Linked DNA regions of Drosophila melanogaster. The protein of the gene in region 3 interacts with the protein of the main gene of each other region in a pairwise test. Each region holds a gene or a part of one and is shown on either strand. Other genes may lie near its edges.

The links. Proteins that work in one complex are often made in the same cells at the same time.
Region 1: the proteins of CG13367 (region 3) and ACOX1 interact in a two-hybrid assay, tested with the Drosophila melanogaster proteins (one large-scale study listed by BioGRID).
Region 2: the proteins of CG13367 (region 3) and fd59A interact in a two-hybrid assay, tested with the Drosophila melanogaster proteins (one large-scale study listed by BioGRID).

The regions. Positions count from the first base shown.
Region 1 is NT_033778.4:17,757,204-17,765,041, forward strand, and holds ACOX1 (acyl-CoA oxidase 1), read left to right. Parts: upstream 1-3,736; 5' UTR 3,737-4,062; coding exon 4,063-4,186; intron 4,187-4,925; coding exon 4,926-5,085; intron 5,086-5,139; coding exon 5,140-5,432; intron 5,433-5,489; coding exon 5,490-5,785; intron 5,786-5,844; coding exon 5,845-6,461; intron 6,462-6,526; coding exon 6,527-6,632; intron 6,633-6,695; coding exon 6,696-6,848; intron 6,849-6,907; coding exon 6,908-7,168; 3' UTR 7,169-7,338; downstream 7,339-7,838. Other genes in the region: HLH54F, read left to right, coding at 372-447, 884-1,233, 2,833-3,135; OstDelta (oligosaccharide transferase delta subunit), read right to left, coding at 7,478-7,838. UniProt on the Drosophila melanogaster protein: Catalyzes the desaturation of acyl-CoAs to 2-trans-enoyl-CoAs. First enzyme of the fatty acid beta-oxidation pathway.
Region 2 is NT_033778.4:22,864,534-22,871,206, reverse strand, and holds fd59A (forkhead domain 59A), read right to left. Parts: upstream 3,049-6,673; 5' UTR 2,706-3,048; coding exon 2,353-2,705; intron 2,033-2,352; coding exon 1,015-2,032; 3' UTR 501-1,014; downstream 1-500. UniProt on the Drosophila melanogaster protein: Involved in development during embryogenesis.
Region 3 is NC_004354.4:641,662-649,033, reverse strand, and holds CG13367 (uncharacterized protein), read right to left. Parts: upstream 4,274-7,372; 5' UTR 4,139-4,273; coding exon 3,121-4,138; intron 3,045-3,120; coding exon 2,836-3,044; 3' UTR 2,648-2,835; downstream 1-2,647. Other genes in the region: Roc1a (regulator of cullins 1a), read right to left, coding at 1,111-1,331, 1,397-1,586; su(sable) (suppressor of sable), read right to left, coding at 5,693-7,372.

The DNA.
Region 1 (7,838 bases), on a different chromosome or scaffold from region 3:
CTGTGTGGCCAATGTGGTGGCAGCCAGAAGGCAAACAACCGAGAAAGAGACCGCCGATCGCACCATGTGTCCGGATTCCTCCGCCAATTGGGACTGTTTGCGGAGCAGGCACGCCCACCAGAGGTGCCAGAAATAGACGGAATCTGGAGAGCTGCAAACTGCGGAGCAGAATGCTCAAAAAGGAGGATCTCCCCGTAACCCGTGACAGAAGTGCTCTACGTGCCACGCAGATCGGACGTATTCGACTCACAGATTGGTTTCGGTTCGGTGCGTTTCGATTTTAAGTGAGAAAACTGAGTGATTGGAATTTTATATCCAATTTGAAAATATTCGAAGTGATTCTTGTGATACCACCAACTTGTTTTTGAACAATGCCACGCAAGAAGCGCAGTTCCAGCCCCACGGAGTTCTTTGATGACGACTTCGATGAGGATGCCAGTTCTCAAAGTGAGTTCGATTTCAATTTATAGGTGATTTTGTACTTATATTAAAAAGATGTATTATAAACGCTTAAAAACGTTGACAATGTAAATATGTTTAGCTAGTTTTGTAAATTTATTATTTACTTTAAAGTAAAATTCAATTTCCTTAGAATTTTTTAAATCGAACTTTAGAATTTACCTTAAAAGGAATGTTAATTTAAAATGCGTTAAGCTCTAAATGAAAATATAATAATAATGATAAAAATTATAATAACAGAAAGCACAATAGATATAAATTGAGTTTAAAATTCATACTCCATATGCTTTTTGAACTTCATACTTTGCGAAGATATCTATAATGTAACTTAAAACTTTTGTGGATACCAATAAAACCTTTTGTTTCTAATTAATCTCTTGTTATTGGAGCTCCTTAAGATGTATCTACATTTCTGATTTTCCAGGCTCCCAACCGCCGGTGCAGCGAAATGCGGCAAATGCCCGGGAGCGGATGCGTATGCGGGTTTTATCCAGCGCCTACGGACGTTTGAAGACCAAGCTGCCCAACATTCCGCCGGACACGAAGCTCTCCAAGTTGGACACGTTGCGTTTGGCCACGCTCTACATCAAGCAGCTAATTACGGCTGTGGAGACAGGCAGCCACTCGCAGAACCACCCGCACAACCACAACCAGCACCACAGCCTCAACCACAGTCACTCGAGTACCACCAGTTCCGAAGGCCTGGACACAAGTCACATGGCAGATTCGTCCGGTGGAGGCAATTATAATTTCCACAACAACGGACACGGCATGGTAAGTGTCATGCAATTGCGATCCCCCTGCCCGAATATAAGTGATGTCACTGCCACCACTTAACGATGCACTGCACCCGCGGCTCGGGGGAACGGGAACGCATTAATGAGCCGGCCACTTCAGGTGGATCTCGTCAGTTAATGACAGGTGTCGCAGGGGATGCCCAGTGATATGCCCAAGATCAATGTTTATTCATGGATTTCAGTCTAATTGAGAAGTAATGTTCAGCCGATCGGGATTCCCATAAGTTTATGTCTTTTTATGGAAAGTTTGGTATTGGGAATGAAAATTTTTCTTTTATGCGTTTTCTTTGAAAAGCCATTAAGGAAATAAAGTAGGTAGATATTTGTAAATTTTGCTAGTTGAAATTAGCCTTTCGTAGAATTTTAACTTAGAGATCGTGGAAAGTTACACGGAAACCCAGGCTTCAGTGTTTAAAATTTAAAAAATTGATACTATTACAATTTAAACGTATACGCAATCTATTATTCTCATTTTTTTTTTAACAAGCAACTTAAGTATTTAGTAATACTACTCAACTTATAGGGGTAATTCAACGCAATTTTAGCGAAATATAGATCAAAAATCCAAAGGAATGTGGTGCAACATCTGCTTGGTGATGCGGACGCGATGCGGCGACAAGTATTTCCACCTTTTCTAGATGTGGAGGTGAACCACAAACGTAACCACATCCACATCCCATGACCGGAGTCAGCCATTCAGCCGGGCCCCCCACTAGAACACCGAAATCACATTTTGTGATTTCAGACTGCCTTGCTTTCCTGTAATCCGATACTTTTGTGAATTTCGAAAATATTAAATATGAGTGACAGGCTGTTGGTGGAGCGGGCAGGGAACGGAGATGGTAACGCAGACCTGCGGATCTGGATGGGGGGCACTAGTTAGTCTTTGCTTTTATTTTTTATTTTTAAAGATGCTCTTGATGCTTTGAAGCGACACAGTGAATGACATGCGAGGGAAAGTGTCATCCTCAGTAGTTTTCCCACTCGGATTATTGTAATTAAAATTTGTCTAACCGTGTTTATCCATCAGCCATTCCCGCTGGAGTTTACACAATCTATCACTCAAGATTCATGGCGTGCACAACTTATCTAAATAGATGCAATTGTTTACACACCGAATGCGTGAAAAATTCAGCAAATACGGCTCCGTCTTGTGCCCATATGGTGGCAAATCAGATCGGATCGGAGAGTCCCGACCCTATCCGAATTTATACCATCCACGCGCCCAAGATGATCTGTTGGGAACAACCCATTGGTTCGCTATTTGCTCGCTAGCCCTAGCATCCCTATATCCCATTTCCAATCCCTCATTGTATGGCATACAAATGAGTGTCTCTTGTCCGCAAGTGTTTGGCTGTTTATGTTTTTATAGATCCGTTAATGAGGCTGTTATTGTAGATCTAGACGTGGAGGCGGGGGTGGGCACTAAAAACAATCAAAGTTGCGTAAACAAACAATGGCGCTGTCTCGGGATGGGTTGTCGTCATATTGTTCCATATATAGCCCCTGCGGTTTCCACAACTCCTATGATTTATGCCTGTTTTATCCACACATTCCACATTATACTGTCTTGCAGAGCTGGCCCTTTGAGTTCCACCAGAGTAGCCGGAGTTTGGCATTTGCCCCATCATCATCAACCACCTCATCCGCCCGTATGGATTGGCAAACCCTGCATACGCAATCTTATCCGAAGACTACGCGAGGCGAAACCCATGTTTCGGCGGATCTAAGTTACCATCAGTTGCCGGAATCTCACAGTCACTGGTATCCGGCGGAAGTGCATCAAATGGAGCCAGCGGCCAGCTGTTCCTATGACTCTGGAATGGGGCAGCATCAGCGGGGCATAGCTATAGCCACTAGCCATGCCCATGGCATTTAAGCGGATATTATAAATAATGTTCTGACCTAAGCCAAATGAATTTACCACCTAGTAAGTGTATTAAATCGTGATTTAATTTTACGTGTTTCCGTATGTGCAAGCCTGAACCTATGCTATAAGGCCAAAGATTGGTGTTACCTCATGATCATTTAGCTAGCAAATATATCTATGTTTTTAATAAAATTGGAATTTTTGAATTTTTTTGAATTGGCGCCAAGATTATGGTGACTGTATCCCTGGAGTTGTCGAGTGCTGCCGTACTTGTTTGTATTTTGCAGCCCTGTTCAACAGCTGATTTCGTCACAATACAAACAAAGAGCTGCTAAAAACAAAATTAATCTATTAATTAAGGCGGAATTCAAATACCCTACTTTTTTTAAAACGGCTAATTTGAGACATTTTAAAGATGTTATTTATGCAGAAAGATGTAGTGAATTTGCATTATTCACTTGCAAACAAATTATACGAACAAAGAAGCTTATGAAAGCAATCTTATTTAAATTAGAAACAAACTGAAAGAAAACGCCCAAGTACTTTTTACATGCAGTGTATTTATTTTGTGTATTTACTCATAAATGTAGCCCAACAACAATGGCGTGAGAATAATGGTTGTGCTACAGACTATTTCAACACAAAAGCGAACTTATTACATGTGTATTTTCGCGGTTAAAGTTCACGTCGTTCGAGAGCTGGCATCGATGATTAGATTCGGAATAGCTGGATCAGATCAGCAGTCCATAATCTCAATCTCCTCCACTGGATTTCCTCCACCAGCACTTGAGTGACCGACTGACTGACCACTGAGCGCAATTCGCCTTTCCAGCAACAATCAGTCAGTACGCGATATTCAACGAAGACGGACGCTTTGCGGTGGCTCGTTAATCCATAACCTGTTTACGTGACTTGAATACTGTGCCGCATAGCAAAATGCCAGCCAAACCAGTGAATCCCGATCTCCAGAAGGAACGCAGCACGGCCACCTTCAATCCCCGGGAGTTCTCCGTTCTGTGGGCCGGCGGCGAGGAGCGATTCAAGGAGAAGAAGGCCCTGGGTGAGTTAGCTTAGAAGGGAAAAACACCGGATTTCAAGCTTCTCCGGTGACCCCGACAGACCTACATGTACATTCACATTAACCGGTCGCTCAGAGCTTTATCTGAGCTTGGCGCAATCGCGTTTCCCAACAGTGGATGCAAGAAATTGTGCCAAAAGCATGACTTGGCAATTAAGCTAGGCTTTAACGCATTTATAGCTAATCTGTAGGGTACAAACTCTGATGCTAGCCATGTCAGCCACTGATAAATTATCCAAAACATCCTGTCAACTTCTTTGTTTTGATACGCTTCTTCTCCGTCCATTCATTCATGCGATTTGTTGATTTTGCTGCACGCCGTGGCCCAAAGTTCATTAATTATGTATTCCGCATAAACAAGCCGCTACTAGTTAATCAGCACCTATTAGCCAGCTCATAAGTTATTAATCTTTGAACTTCGCGCGAATCGCGATCAATCCGACTACTTGTGTACTTTGAATGTTTGCAGCTACCCACCATCTATTTCCAGGTCCACTTGAAATTAGTTTAGCTGATAGGTTTATCTGACAGATTTGCACGGTCGCTCAGGGCATCATAAATGGACAATGCCCAGTAACTCCCGCGAATTAACGAAGAATACTTTCCACTCATGATTACGCTGCAAAATTCAACAATGCTTATCTAAATGACACCTCCTAAAATATTAAATCCCTTTCCTTATGGCTTCATTTACATTAAATTTCGTTTATGATTTTTCCAGAGAAATTGTTTTTGGAGGATCCAGCCCTTCAGGACGACTTGCCCATTTCCTATTTGTCACACAAGGAGCTCTATGAGCACAGCTTGCGCAAAGCCTGCATCATAGGAGAGAAGATCCGCAAGCTACGTGCTGATGGCGAGGATGGAGTGGATACTTACAAGTAAAGAAATCCTTATATTTAATGTACTTCAGGTTGTAATTTGTGTGCTTATAGTGCTCTGCTTGGTGGATCCTTGGGATCGGCTATTCTAAAGGAGGGCAATCCGCTTGCGCTGCACTACGTGATGTTCGTGCCCACCATCATGGGCCAGGGAACGATGGATCAGCAGGTGGAATGGCTGAGCAAGGCCTGGGACTGTGAAATCATTGGCACCTATGCCCAAACGGAACTGGGACACGGAACCTTCCTGCGCGGTCTGGAGACCAGGGCTGACTACGATGCCAGCACCCAGGAGTTTGTTATAAACACTCCATCACTCAGTGCATACAAGTGGTGGCCCGGTGGATGTGAGTTTTCTTGAACACTTAATATTTTGAAATTGTTATAAAATCTGGGACTTGCAGTGGGACACACTGCTAACCATGCGGTTGTGGTGGCACAACTCTACACCAAGGGCGAGTTCCGTGGTCTGGCTCCTTTTATTGTCCAATTGAGGGATTCCGATACTCACCGTCCCATGCCCGGCATCGACATTGGAGATATTGGTACCAAGCTGGGCATGAAGGGTGTCAACAATGGCTATTTGGGACTGAAGAACGTACGGGTGCCTTTAAACAACATGCTGATGAAGAACCAGCAAGTGCTGCCCGATGGCACATATGTGGCGCCGAAGAATAGCGTGCTTACCTACGGAACTATGGTACTATTACACATATTCACTATATCTTCACAGAGATTTTAACCATTTTTTCATTCAAGATGTTTGTGCGTTGTGCTCTTATCCGTGATACCGCTCAGAGCCTGGCAAAGGCATCCACTATTGCCACTAGGTATTCAGCTGTTCGCCGACAGAGTCCCATTGATCCCAATCAACCGGAGCCCCAAATCATGGACCATACCACGCAGCAGTTGAAGTTGTTCCCCCAGATAGCTAAAGCCATCGTTTTCAAAACGACGGGTGATGGCATCTGGAATATGTACAACGTGATATCTGGCGAGATTGAGCAGGGTAACTTGGATCGCCTGCCCGAAATGCATGCATTGTCCTGCTGCCTTAAGGCCATCTGTAGTGCCGATGCCGCCGCCGGCGTGGAAACGTGTCGTCTGTCATGTGGCGGACATGGCTACATGGACTGCTCCAACTTCCCCACGATATACGGCATGACCACGGCCGTTTGCACCTATGAGGGCGAGAACACAGTGATGCTGCTGCAGACTGCTCGCTATTTGGTGAAGGTTTATGGGCAGGCCTTGAATGGAGAGAAGCTGGTGCCAACGGTTTCGTACATCAGTGATGCAATAAACCAAACCAAGTTTGTTAACTTTGACGGATCATTGAGGTCTATTGTCAAGGCTTTCCAATTCGTTGCCGCCAAGTAAGTATTTACTAAAGAAAAAAAGGTAGAAGTACCAAGTATTTAAATTCATATTTTTATATCAGCAAAACCCGAATTGCCTATGAGCAGATTGAACTGCGCCGCAAGCAAGGTTATGGTACCGAGGTGGCAGCTAATCTATGTGGCACCTTCCTAACAGCAGCTGCAGATGTAAGTCGTAATGAAATATCTGTTATTCACTCAGTATCCTATATAATTTTGTACCACTTGTAGCTTCATGGACGCGCCTTCCTAGCGCAGACTGCCTATACGGAGCTTTTGGCCTTGTCGCGCGAGGTGTCCCCAGAACTAGCTGAAGTCCTAAAGGTGGTGCTGGAGCTGTATCTGGTAGACGCCTGCCTCAACCGCATTGGCGACTTCTTGCGGGTACGATTTTAAATTGATATTAGTTAAGAATATTTAATGTTATATGTAACTTTCAACAGTTCATTGATCTCACTGATCAAGATGTCACGAAACTGGAGGTTCGCCTGGAGAACTGCTTAAAACGATTCCGGCCGAATGCCGTCAGCTTGGTGGACAGCTTTGATCTTCACGATCGCGTGCTAGATTCCGCATTGGGTGCCTATGATGGAAATGTTTACGAACACATCTTCGAGTCTACGAAGAAGAACCCGTTGAACAAGGAGCCAGTCAACGGAGCATTCCACAAGTACTTGAAGCCATTCATGAAGGCTCACCTCTAGATTCATATCCTATTGCTCTGGAAGATTTTCACAAGTGTTATTATTGTAAATATACATTTGTTTCCATTGTTTTTGTATTATACAACTGTCTGCTTAGCAAATGGTCTTTAAGACAATTATGATGTCAGGGCTTGTGCAGTTGAAACTAGGCTGTAAAATTATACACAAATAAAATATTCAACTATATTTAAAGGCAGTATTTAGTGTGTGTTTGGGCTTAACTAAATCGCTTTATTAAAGTTTGTTTTCTGATGGTGTTGCAAGATAGAGAGTAGCTCACTTATTGACTTCGTACAATGATGAACGCACTTACGACGCACTTGCCTTCGAGTTACGTTGTGCGTAAAGACGTCTCAGTAATCGGTTGCCAGCCAGGAATGTGAATACTGCGATGGGAATCAGCAGGCGCAGTGTCTGGAACATGTTAAGCTGCAGCCAGAACACGAAGAACAGCACCAGAATGCCACCGAAACCCAGATGAAACCCGATCGTACTCGGTGCCAGCGTCAGGTTAGATACATTGATGCCCAGTTTTCCCCAAAAAACGAAAAGCAGCACAAGCGGGGTTATGCACAGTCCGGTGAAGATATCAGAAACAATGCGGGGCGGGCGCTTATCGGGCACTCGGAACTGATGGATGATTTCGGGCAGGGGACCAGAAGTGTTCTTA
Region 2 (6,673 bases), on a different chromosome or scaffold from region 3:
TCTTCGGCGGCACACTGTTGTCCCGCTGCCAGGCGCAGCTTTTCATGTTTTAACACTGGAAGCCAACGGGACGCTCGTGGGAGAGCGGAGCTTTCGTTTGGTAGCGCCGAACTCCACGGCGTTCTATGGCGGCACAACTACGTCCTGCGCCAAATCAGCTGAGCGATGGTCACTGCGCAGGCGCTAAAGCTGAACTGATTTCCAGGCAGGGGTGCCACACCTGGACAGGTTTGCTGGGCGGTAAATTCAAATAACTCGGGGTGTTTTATTGCAAACAAAAGGTAACAAAACGTCGAAAAGAGGGATCCCTTTAAGGATATTATTACAAGGAAGAGAGTGGCCACATATAATAATATAATTATAAAAATAATACAATATTACAGGTATCAATAGGATTAAAAATTAATATTTAGTATACTACAAACATATTAGTAACATGCTGTAGTAGCTGTAGTAACAACACGTATATCGGTACCTACCAGTCAAACATGTATCCGTGTAAACTATTATTATGTTGTTGTTTATTCAATTTTCAATAACATCAGCAAAAATCTTAGTCTAATTTATAGTTAATAGTGTTCCTCTTGCTTGGATGTGTTACAGTTACACGCAGACGCACACGCACACACATACACATGATTAGTACTTGCATGGTAGATATAGGTCTAGAACCTGAAATCCCGACTCCAGACCCCAAGAATTCGTGTTAAAAGTATACTATAGACGTGCGATGCTTCAGATTTACATAGATATTACGCGCAGATATATGTTTAGTACGTAAGTGGACTGGCAACTATAGCGTTGACTTCGATTTGGTCGCATTTAAAAACTCGTGTGCTGGCTCCTACATCCTACGGATACACCTACTGATCACTACTTGCTGCTCGGATTGGATTCCTGGGGATTGCTGGTGGTGGTGTTAGTGGGCTGTTAAAACGTGCTTAGATCGAAACTGAAATCACCGTTCAATGGACTGTACACAAGCCAATTGGTTCAAGCGAGTGGGAATCCCGCCTAGTCGCTGGTCTCCTCCTGGCTGCCACCGCGATGCAGGTGGTGGCCAATCAGCGTCTCGATGCGAAAGTCCTTGGCGCTGCTCTGTTTGCTGGTCCGCAGAACCAGGGGCTCGCTATCGAAGCGTCTCCTTGGACTTGAATCGGACGCCTCGGCAGAAGCCTCAAAGATCAACGCTTCCGGCGGCGCATCCAGGCGATTTGTACAGGCGCTGTCCACCGAGTCCGAGATATGTGAGTCCTCCTGCTCATTGCCGCTCTCCACGTCGATCTTGTCCTCGCATGAGTCGTCATCTCCCTCGGCTTCCGCATCGGCCTCTGTGTCCGCATCGTCATTGTACACATTGAGATCCATGTAACCACCGCCGGCGGACAGTCGTTCTGCGTAATCCCTGTGGCCGGGAATGCCCGCAGCACTGGCCACAGTCGCCACATCGAAGGCGTATGGGCTTTTGTACTTGGAGCCACGGCTGCTCTCGGATCCCCCGCCCACTCCTCCGCCGGAGCCACTGCTGTGCGGTAGTGCATCCAGGACATCCGCTCCTCGACCGCGATTCATGAAGGGCAGCCGGTCGAACTTGTCCCCCGACTGACTTCCCTGGTAGAAGGATGCTTCGGCATTCGCAAAGAAGTTAAACTTCTTGTCCGCTCGCAGCGCTGAGTCAAAGACATCCGCCGGATTGTGGACCACGTCGAACTCCCTGCTCCCATTGAAGTTGGGCACGTTGAAATGCACTGGCACGAGGGGCACGGGCTTGCGTATCCAAAATGGAGACAGCGTGCCAAAGACCGCCGGAAACGAGAAGCGTTGCATGGTGGGCGCCCGTTTGTAGCGCTTCCGCCGGCGCAGGAAACTGCCGTTGTCGAACATGTCCTCCGCCAGCGGGTCCAGCGTCCAGAAGTTGCCCTTTCCGGGATTTCCCGGCTCGCGGGGCACCTTTATGAAGCAGTCGTTCAGGCTGAGATTGTGCCGGATGGAGTTCTGCCAGGCGGGGAATTTGTCCTTGTAGTATGGAAAGCTACAAGTAAAATGCACAAGTTATTTAACATTTTTTCGAGGAATTTTTTTTAAAGAATTTGGTTGTTTATCTAGATCACTTACATTGCAATCAGTAAATAAAATATCACATTTTAAAATTTATAATTTTTGAAATCGATTAAAGCACTGAATGTCTCTTCTTTTCTATGTTTTCAATTGAAATTTTATAGGATTTATTTATTTTTATCGTCTTTACAAACTACTACTTTTATTCTCTTTTTCTGATGTTTTAAGATAACTTGGAAAAAATCAAACTATTGCTTCTTCATTTAAGGATATTAACTTTGCTGGCAAACTCACCGCGACATGATGAAATCGCAGATCCCGCTGAGCGTGAGCTTCTTGTGCGGTGACTGAAGAATGGCCATGGTGATTAGAGCTATGTAGGAGTATGGTGGCTTTACCAGGGGACCACCCGAAGATCCCGAGCCGTCTCCGTTGCCGCCGGCGGCACCACTTCCGCCCATGGACGACGGCTCGATGTCGCTGTCGTCGCAGCCCATGGACATGGCATCTGCGGCGGCAGTGCGCGAGGACGCACTGCATCCGATTCCGTTGCCGATGGAGGAGCCGCCTCTGGAGCTTTTGATGAGCGGCGGCGAGAGGGAGACGCTGTCGTGCAATGTGTGCATGGGATCCGTGCTGGTGTGCATGTCTTAGCGGGTATACACTGTAGTCTATTTGAGTCCGCGAATTGGACTCACTAAATTTAGAGGACGCAACACTGTTATTTAACTATTTTGCTCAGGAACTGTGTTCGTTTTGGCGTTTCACTTGCTTCACTTGGCATTTGCATATGCTTTTCGATTCAACTTGGAATTTGATATTTTCTTTTCTATTTCCGCTTCCGTTAACCGTTCGCTGTTACCGTCGTTTCCGGTTTAGCTGCTAGGATAAACTGTACATATGGCCAGCAGTGGTGTGGAAAGTGGAAAGTTGGCTAGCGCCTAGTCCGTCGTCGCGTCCGTTGAAGGCGGAATCCGCTGGCCAAATGTTAACTGAATCGCAACGAAAACGAAAATCTTCTCGCCCAAAATGTTTTTCTACATAACTCAAACATTTATTTATGAAAAACCGCTGCCATTGCCGCTGCCGCTGACGTTTCCCTGAGCTTTTGTGTCGCCGTTGCTGTGTTTTCGTATCTCGAATAACTGTGATTCTACTGCCGACGTCGCCGTTGGCGCGGGCAGAGCATCCTGACGGCATCCTGGCAGCATCCTGGCTGCGCCCCGACAGCATCGCAGCAGAGGGAGAGAGAGCAAGAGAGCCCGGCCAAGCCTCTCTTTCTAGCGGGGGATGGGTTGATATCCTGCGAACCAATCTATGCGAACTAGCTCGTGCCATCCCTCTCCCACTCGCTGCAAGTCCTCACAAAATGGTGGAGAGCCCTGGCTGTAAATGCGATATTTGTGTTTTCCTCTCTCCAAGCGGCGGCAAATTGGCAGCGACTGCAGAAGCCAACGAACGCGGCGGTGGGGGGGATAAACATTTTGCGCAAATTTAGATACCTTTTGCCGCTTTGACGTCGTGGCTCTTAATAATGTTTCATTATGTCAGCCACATGGAGGCAGGCGTCCTTTTCCCCTGCGGCCCTCCCTCGTCCTCGCACTCGCCCTGCCAACCACCACTCTGCTCCTCTGCCCCAAATGTTATGCTTCAAATGTTGGCATTTTTATGTGCGAATGTTTTTCTAACCGTATGTCGACGTTTCTTGGTTTCTCTCGGGCTCGCAATCTCATTCCCAGCCCTCTGTCCCTATGCACAGAAAGAAAAAAAAGAAAAGAATCTAATTATGTGTTTAATTATGTAAAGTCCAAATTCCACAAATCTTACTTAAGTTAAGTAACGAAGTTATAGGGACTTTTCTTTGCAGTTAGATAAGTAGAATTGTATTTATTTTCATAGGATATATTTTGTTGGTTATTCTAAGAACGATTAACTGAAATATGTATATAATACAATGTATTATTATTAAATACATTTAAAAAAAAAAAAAATGCATAGAACAGTTATGTCATTTTAGCAATGCGAAAAAACCGAAATAAAATATAATTTTAAAACAATACATACAATATACAATACATCTAATATAGATAATATTGGTTTTTTTTCTGTATATTTTATTTGGGTGTGGAAGTGAGATGGAATCAAATGCACCATTTTCACCAACATCCTCCGAGCACAATGGGGGCTACTAGAGTGAGAGAGAGAGAGCAGTAGAGTGGGTGGGACGGGAGGGGGTTGGACGTACATGTGTTTGCTGCATTTGTACTTGTATCCAAGTGAGTTTTGTACTATTTCTCTTTTTCATTTTCGCTGTTTTTGTTCTCCAGTTGTTAGACATTGTTGTTGTAGCCATTGTTGTTGTTCGCCATTCAGTGTTTGGAGCCTTCCCTTTTCAAATTAAACATTCAGTAGTCACTTTTATTTGTTGTACTTTGTTCAAATTAGTTTTCCAGTTTTGCGGAAGTTACCCACACACAACCAAACACTCACTCACACACACAGATGCATGGAAACAGACACGAATACAATAAGGGCCGCCATCTTCGAATTCAGAACCATATTGATGTCGCTTCTTTCACTCTTGGCATCGTTTTCATTATTCTATTTTAGCTTTGCCACCCCCAAAATTCCCATTTGCCAATTCCCCCACGCCCGCCCACCTTTTACCCATTGTTACACTTACAAATCAATGATTTTTTGGCCAGATTTTTAGGGGCGTGGCATCGGCCATCGGTATGTATCTTTATCCCGCTTAGTAGTGTTGGTATTATCAGGGGGCATAAATAGAAGGGTGTATATACAATACTTACATGGGGTCGTTTCTGCTCTGCCTGCTCCCCAATTTCGAGGCGGAAAATTTATTGAGGCTTATCCTTGTCTTTTTATGAGCAAACAGAACATTTCATGGCAGCCAAATGAAATTGGTTGGACACAGAATGTAATCAAGTTTTTCGAAGCTAACGCTTAAACTATTTCGGAACTTTATAAACAGGTAAATCAAGCAAAAACGTACCCAATTACTGGAAAATGCTGGAAATCGAAAAGGAATATGTGTTTCAAACTATTGAGTATTAATTGCATGTGTACACTGTAATGACAACAATTGGTAATTAATTCCGACTAGAGTCAGCATTAATATATGTGTAACTGTATCGGTAGAATGGTTAACAACAATATAGCTCACCATGCATAGAGGATAATCTATCTATAGCTACCAGTCATCCTCAAAAACATTAGCCCACTTTATCCCCCGCGAGTTGCATCTAGTATATCGAAAATATTTGCCCTTTCAATCCACTTTTCATTACTTATCCGCCTGCTCAATAGTTTCCATGGCAATTAAACGATTCCAACAGCCACTATCCTGGGCCAATCCGTGGTCACAGCCGTATCCATGTTCCCTGTCAGACTACGGTTAATCGCCGCCTTAGCACGGCAGGAGTCCGGATGAAGGACGAAGGACTCGGGCGGCCAGTTGAGCGTAAGGATGCGGTGCATTAAAGCTTTCGCAGGGGAACAATTAACTTATGGCCAAACAATAACGCCGAGGAATGCACGCTGACAGGAACCAGCCACCAGGAGCACATCCTGCTCAGCCTCACCGCCAGCTCCATCTCCGGGCTATATATATCTACATGAATATCCTGCGTCCTCATCCCGCGCTGCAGCAACAGCGGCATGATCCAGCAATAATCCCTCTTTTGTCAGCAAATTTATTGCACACAAGCAAGCCGGCAAAGGATATGCCAAGCGGATGAAACGGAGCGCTCAGTGGGCAGGAGGGGTAAGGACTGCGGATACCGATTCGGGATTGGTCTCTGGCTTGGCTGAACCCAGACTTTGACAATACAAATCTTTATTGCGAAATCTGCAAAAGGCAAATAAAAGATTTGACACTTGAATTGCTTTGACTGCAAGGATTCGGCAAGGACAATCGCCACTTTTGGCTCAAACAAAGGACACAGTTGCTAGCCACCGACGATGGTCCGCCTTCATTATGCACTGGGAACAAAAAGAGGTCATAAGATATCTTCATTTGATATTCAAGTAAATCAAAATGGCTATGGCAGCATCTAATTATTATTTAATTATTATTTTGTTTATTAATATTATCATTATCTGTATATATCGAAATATTTCAGCACCTGTACGACATTTCCAACAACTACTAATTTAAGAAAGTGGTTATGTCCTTCGACAAGTGTACATCTTACGAAGGGGATCCCCTCTAATTTGCGCTTGAGATGGCGCATCCTGTCGCATCCTGCATCGGTGGACGGCATCTGAGGGTCGGTGGCACCTGCTGGATCGCAAAGGCAAACACTTGAGGCCGCGTAAGAAGTTCGAGAATGGCGAGGGATGGCAGGTTTAATAGCTTCACTTCTTATGTGATTATTAAATCTTTGAAGTATCTGAAGGCGCAGAAAACAAGTCAGGCTGGGGCTCTGGTCGTGGGAGATACACATACAGGCACTTGAATACTTAAGTGACGCTCAATTTGATGGACAAGGACGTCGAGAATCAGCGGGCAAGCCACCCCAGGATTGCCCAGGACAATGGGAAAAATCACAGCAGGCAGCGAGCAAATTGCACAACTGCAGCCGCAAATTCTGTT
Region 3 (7,372 bases):
AGAGACCGAAAGGAGGAGGAGCTTACACTTTCACATACATATAACAATAACAATGTATATAAACCAAAAAGCGGGAAATTTAATTATAAAGCAAGCGAAAACAATTGAACAGAAGATTCAAATAAAACGCTAAATACAACTCGATACAAGTGGTGGTTCAAGTGGTTCGACGGACCATGCAATCTGGTTTAATTCACATGAATCTGAATCCAAAACAACTCGCACTCCCTGCCCTTCGTTTTATTGCCAGCTTATTGTTTATTTTGTTCTCTGTGAAATTTGGTTTTTAAAAGGCGACAGATAGAAAACTACAACTAAACCATCACAACCACACACACACACGAAGCAAATTCGATGATTTTTTAACGACATAATTATTTTTTGTTTACCTATAAGTTTAGTTAGTAGCTTATGCAATTAAACATTAATCATATTTGATATATACCATATACTTTATTCATATCTGTAACTAATGTGTATTATTTTCTAAGCTGCCGCGGCCGCAAAACATTCATAATAAACTAAAAAGAACATTTAGTTTTTACAAACGCAGCTCTTTCTTTGCATCGACTGATTTTGATTTGTTTTTACGAAACTACTTTCATATATCTGAACAACCTGATCTGGAGCTGGTCATGACGCATATAGTTAAGCAAAACTAAACTAGTTTGAACTAGCCAGATCCTCTTCAAATGCCATCCAAGGATAACTAAGCAGAGCTACATTTATGGAACCCAATGACCCAATCATATTTTTTGCCAGTCATGAGTTATATACTCTGAAAATTTAGGCACGACTAGCTAGTGGATTTCGCGGTAAGATGCCATCGTCACAGTGAATATAGACTCCAAAGGGTGAAAGGTAGAAACATCCGTCTAGTCTTCTCCATCTTCTACAGCTTTTATTTAACGCGTTACAAAAAGGTGCGCTTCCCGGGGAGTCTCGGAAATCGGTAACTGTGCTCCTAAAGGCTACCAGTTCACTCGAATCGCCCCACTAGCTTAAGATCTAAAAAGGTATTCAAATGTCCAGATGAAGCAGGCCTCCATCATCTAGCTTGCGGGAAGTGCTGCTCCCTCCATCTGGTGGGTCTTGGGGGTTTTGTAGATTTTAGTGGCCGTACTTCTGGAAATCCCACTCGCGGTTGTCCAGTGGGCATACCTGGCGCGTCTTTAGCCAGCGAGAGATGCAGTGGAAATGGAAGGCGTGGTTGCAGACGCCCCAGGCCACGGTGCACTCCTCGCTAGTGGCGGACGCCTGGTTCGCCTGACACTCGATGCACAAGTCCATGATGTGGTTGCGGCAGATGGCGCAGTTGTCCACCACGATGTCTGCATCGAAATGGAATGCGGTTAATCCCCCGACTCGGAGCACTACAATTCGCATTACTACTTACCCCAGGCCCACAGAGCCACGGCGTTCCACTGTTTTCGGCGAAGCGGAAAGGATGAAGTGTTACCATCAGTACATTCATTGACAATGACCCTGCTTTTTTGCTGACCACTTACCTTCTTCACCTCAAAGCGCTTCTTATCGCCCTTGCTGCTGCTGGAGGGAACCTCGTATCCATCCTCGTCGACTTCCATGGTGGAAATACACCTATTTATCCTGACAAAACTCTCGCAACACAAATGCAATTTTCACAACTAACGTAGTTTTGGCTTTTCTGTCCCTATCCTTTTCGTTTTAATAGAAAACCACTCGCAGTGAGGCTCAAGCAGTGTGACCGCCGCTTTTTCTCGTAAAGGTGGCGAAACATCGATGCCAACATCGATGGCGTCGATGGTATCGATGGTATTTACTGCACATCGGAGAAGATATGTGTATATATTGTAAGTATAAATTGTAAGTTCCATATTTTTTAATAGAATTATTAATAACATATCGCAAATTTAGTGTGACTTGCTGGTGGTGTTGGCTGATGTCCTGAAAGACGTGGATAAATATCTGAAATTTAAGTTTTTAACTCCTGAATAAGGAGGGATGAAGACGTAGACGACAATAAGTTTATGTTTAGTTAAAATACTGCCTTTTTTATTTAGTCAATATTAAAAAAGAAAATAATATTTAAATTAAACAGATAATTTTTTTGTTTTTATTTAAAACATCGATGTTTAGAACAACATGTTTAAAGAATATGTTTAAGACTTTGATATTTTTCGCCAAATCGGAAACATCGATGTTTCTCCACCACTATTTTCTCGTCTAATTCAATAACGATTCCGATTCGTGTCGATAACCTTTTGGTATCTTAATCAAAATTTTTAATGTTTTGTTTATGGTATACCGATCAAATTGCAAAAAAGTAAAATCGAAGAAAAATCAAAACATTTTTCAAAAGTATATGCGTGGCAGTTTTGGGCGGTTTGTGGGCGTGGGAATTAGTTTTTTGCAATTCAAACAGGACTTATAACAAAATTTTAAAAATATCAAAACATTTTTCAAAAGTGCGCGCGTAGCGTTGGACGACACTAAACTGGGCCACATGGGTCAACAAACTTGCGCTGCGACTGTCTGTTTTATAGTTCCTGAGATTGAGGCGTTCATACGGTCAGACGGACATGGCCAGTTCGACTCGGCTATTGATCCTGATCAAGAACATATGTTTATACATGTATACTTTATAGGTCGGAAACGCTTCGTTATCCATAATTACAAAATTGTATTTTATTCATTAATTGCTGATTGAGTTCAGTTGGTACTACAGTACATCAAGTACTTTTTGAATTATTTTCTGTTCGGCAAGTAGCCCGTTTACGAAGAGTAAAAGTTGCAATAAATTAGATTTTTCAAATTCAGGGCTCCGGCCATCCTGCCCTTGAGCCACCTCTTCTGCTAGGAGGCACCGCCCGCTTTGTGGCCACTGCCCTTTTCCCGCTTGACTATCGGCAGCCGCGTCCAGATGTAGCCGCCCGATCTCTGGGCAGTGTACTCATCCACGTCCGGCAGGGGAAACGGGGTGCTCCGGTCGAAGTAGTAGTTGCTGGGAGCATGCATCACGAACTCTAGGTAGCAGAGCTTCCGGGACAGCTCCTCATCGGGTCCTGCAGGCACGGGAGTTAAGCAAAAATACAATTTAAAAAACTTTGGGTAGCAGGCAGGAGGACAGGACTGACATACCGATTAGGTAGGTAGGGGGATCGAAGCCCTCCTGGGGATCCGGACTGTCCTGCGTGGGAATCAGCCAGGTGAGGAAGGCGGACTTCTCGCAATAGGCGTCCACAAGCAGACCGCGTATCTGGGCGTAGTACAGATTCTGCTCGCTGTCCACAATGCTGACGATATCCCCGATTTGTATATAGCTGCCCTTGTGGAAAAGGCTTCTCACGAACCTGGTGCTCGCCTGCACCTTGGGAGTTTTCTGTGCTGGTTTCTTGAAGAGAGCGCGGCGATTACGGGCTCCAGTGGCCCCGCCTGTGCCCGCTGGACCGGACTTCCCATGCTTGTTGGTATTACTGGGATGGGCGCCAGCGCCCGCGAGGTGCACGGAGCTGCCGGTGGAACCATTCGCCCCGCTATTGTGGCCATTTGACTGGCTACTGCCGCTTCCGGGAGTGCCCTTGCCCGTTTGCTTGGCCTTGAAGCGCGTGCTCTTTCGCAGACGCTTTATTATCGTTGGGGAGCGGGTGGGCGCCTGGTTGGCTGTGCCATTTAGACTGCTACGGGTGATCTTGCCCGCAGTTCTCTGGCTGGGATTCGCTGCTGTCTCCGGCGAACTGGGCGCGACTTCCTCCTGAGCCTGCGGCTGCGGCGGCGGCTTCACTGGCTTGTCCTCCTCCTCGATTTTGATGGCTGTCGGATTGCTGGGCGGTTGCACGGAGCCGTCCTCCAGTGGCTTCTGGTCCTGCGCGTCCTTCTGCTCCTCCTCCTCTTTTTTCTCCCGTTTCGTTTTGGAATCCATCGGCTGCTCCAGCTCGGCCACCGTTGGCATCCGTTCGCTAGTGGTAAGATCGTTGTCTATCTCCATGTCCACGTCCATGTCGGTGGAGTCCTTCTGTGGCTCGCAGGAATAGGAGGGAGCTGCGACAATGGAGGCCAACGCCAGATCTCCAGCGGCTTCTGCTTGGAGGCCGTCGCCTGCGGTTGACACCTGGTACATGGGACTGACGCACTTGTTTAGGTCGGCGTCGGTTGACATGGCTAATCCATGCCCTTATTCAGGTCGTAGTGATTTTTAAAACAATAAATGCTTCAATGTGCTTGTTCTGCTATGCAAAACAACGTAATTTGTGTAGTATGTTTTTGTTAAACCAGTGTTGCCAGACCGGATCGGCGGGGGCTGCCAGGTAGCCAACTGTGCTCTGACTAATGCAGCCCTGGTTTTTTTAGGAATTCAAAATAGAAAGAAGAAATACCGGTGGAGATTCCATATTCAATTTCTCGCCAGTGGCGTTTTGTTAGATTTCCCTATCAATTTCGTTGGTAAAAGAACGTTGACCGTTGAACGTTCGGCCACCGTTGGCATCCGTTCGCTAGTGGTAAGATCGTTGTCTATCTCCATGTCCACGTCCATGTCGGTGGAGTCCTTCTGTGGCTCGCAGGAATAGGAGGGAGCTGCGACAATGGAGGCCAACGCCAGATCTCCAGCGGCTTCTGCTTGGAGGCCGTCGCCTGCGGTTGACACCTGGTACATGGGACTGACGCACTTGTTTAGGTCGGCGTCGGTTGACATGGCTAATCCATGCCCTTATTCAGGTCGTAGTGATTTTTAAAACAATAAATGCTTCAATGTGCTTGTTCTGCTATGCAAAACAACGTAATTTGTGTAGTATGTTTTTGTTAAACCAGTGTTGCCAGACCGGATCGGCGGGGGCTGCCAGGTAGCCAACTGTGCTCTGACTAATGCAGCCCTGGTTTTTTTAGGAATTCAAAAACGTTCAACGGTCAACGTTCTTTTACCAACGAAATTGATAGGGAAATCTAACAAAACGCCACTGGCGAGAAATTGAATATGGAATCTCCACCGGTATTTCTTCGACCGTTTATATTATTAGTACATTAGATTCGATGGCAAGTGTGTATATAAGGTAGAATTGCGCTATACTGCTATTTTTAGTTCGAATTCGCAGAAGATGTCATAATTTAAGCGTAAACGTAAACATATACCTTGTAGGAACTAAATTAAAAATGGTCGAGAAGCCAATTCAGAATTTAGCATCGATAAGTACGCAAAAGCTTTCTAAAGAGTTTAGGTGTAGTTTCGCACGCTTTCAAGAGCTATTCATTTCTTTCTGCTCCTCCGGGACGGCCCAGCAACCTAAGCATGGCACATTACTTAAAAGATGTCATTTATTTTGAGTTCGTACGTCTAGTTAATCAATGTAGTACTCGCGCTATTGAACAAATTATCCTATATAATTTAAAAAAGTTTGTTAAAAAGGGCTGCGCATACCATTCTGCTTCACTTTTCGTTCTTACTCCGGATTGTTTTGTTATTTACTCTTTACTACTCGTATAGCTAATAAGATCCTTACACCTAGCGAAAAAAATAGTGACAATAATGGGGATTCGGGAATAAAATACATTTACAAGGAGTCATGCCTGGATTTTCGGGGAAGGTGCGCGGAAAACCACGAGTTTTCCACGACGTATGGTATGGTTGGGGGAAAGGGTCATGTGGCATAGCATCGCTTTAAGATCATTGGGGCAAAAGGGCTCCTTTTGCGTTTGTGTTTTCGCAACGCATGGGCCTTTAAATGTTGCGGTTTCGGTGGTTGCCGCCTCGCTGGTTGCGATTGTTTCCGTTGCCGTTTCCGCCTGATCCTCCGCCCGGAAAGTGCCCTCCTCTGCCGCCATTATTGTTGAAGTTATTGAAGCCCATGCCCATGTTGCCCATTGAATTCATGTTGTTCATGACGCCAGCTCCTCCCCCATTGTTCCCACCAAATGGGTTGAAGGGATTGCCATTGGGCACAGGTCCTCCTCCTTGGTTTATCCCCAACTGGCCAAGTCCTCCCAGATTGCCAACGCCCTGGTTTAATCCATTGCCATTCGGAGGCATTCCCATCAATCCTCCGCGTGGCGGTGGCTGATTGAAAGGGGGTCCCACGTTGCCCATTTGCATCATCATTCCCGACATGCGAAGCATTCGTATGTTCGGTGGCGGTAGCCTTAACATTTGGCTCAGATTTGGTGGGGGTTGCGATAGATTGGGAAGCACTACTCCTCCTCCTCCTCCTCCTCCTCCTACTCCGCCTCCAGAATCTCCGCCGCCACCAAGAGCAGCACCATTACCGTTGGGCTCCTCGGGAATCTGCACCACCTCGCCATTGTCATCTACAAAGATAAAGAGCTTGGCAAAGATCTGCTGCAACGTTGTGTTGTTCACTATAAAGCTGACATCGAAAATTTTCGGAGCATCATTCGGCAGCTGATGGAACTTCTTGAGCTCGGTAAAGACCAGGGCGAGCTGTTGGTTCACCATAATCTTATTGTTGGTGCCGAGATTGTTGTACCAGTTGGAAACCTGCAGCAGGCTTCGGATTTCCGAGATTTGCTTGCTGCCACCAGAGGCATTGGGTGCTGTGGTGTTTGCCGTACTAGCACCTTTAGTTGGAGCCTGCAGAACGGCTCTCCTGGGATCGCGACGTGGATCTGTCCGCACAGTTGGCTTTTCCACCTGTATGTTCGGAGGTGGTACCCTCATCGACGGCGGTGGCACACTCATTGACGGTAGGTTTACCACGGACGGGGGCGGTGAACTGGGGGTGGAATCACGAACGGCGGTCTCCAAATCTGGGGAAGCGATGGTCGTAGCGCAACGCGCAATGTTGTCGACCGAAAAGGAGCTTGGGCCCATAATGGGCACGGAGCCCAAGGGTCCACTGTTATCAGGCGTTTCCGGAAGGCCGAGAATCCGACGCATTCGAGGATCGCGTAGCTCCCGCTGCTCCTTGTGCAGAGCACTGGCCCTAATCTGAGCATAGCTGCTCTCCTCTATGGTTACTTCATGCAGCTGCCAGCGTATCGGAGTGTGCGAGAAGATCGCCGCGTCGATCTCGGTGGCAGGCATATAGTGTTTCATCGGCTCGAACGGCAGTCGCATGTCGGTATCACGCTGGTACTGTTCCTTCTCCTCCGTAAGAAGCTCCTGTCGCCCGTGCTCTTGCTCTTTGACGGGATCGAAGTCATACATGGAACGACGTACATAGAGCGAAGGAGTTGTCGGCGGCAACGCTGGTGCAATGACAGGCAATTCCGGCATATCCTGATCGTGGTCCTCCGGCTTGGGGGATTGGGATCCCGGCTCTGGCGTGGGAGTTGGCGTCAGGGAATGCGAATTGGAATTTGAGTTCTCATTGCTGGAGTCCACGTCGCCATCGCCACTGTGAGCCTTGAAGGGATTGCGTATTATGTCGCGATAGAAAGCTGC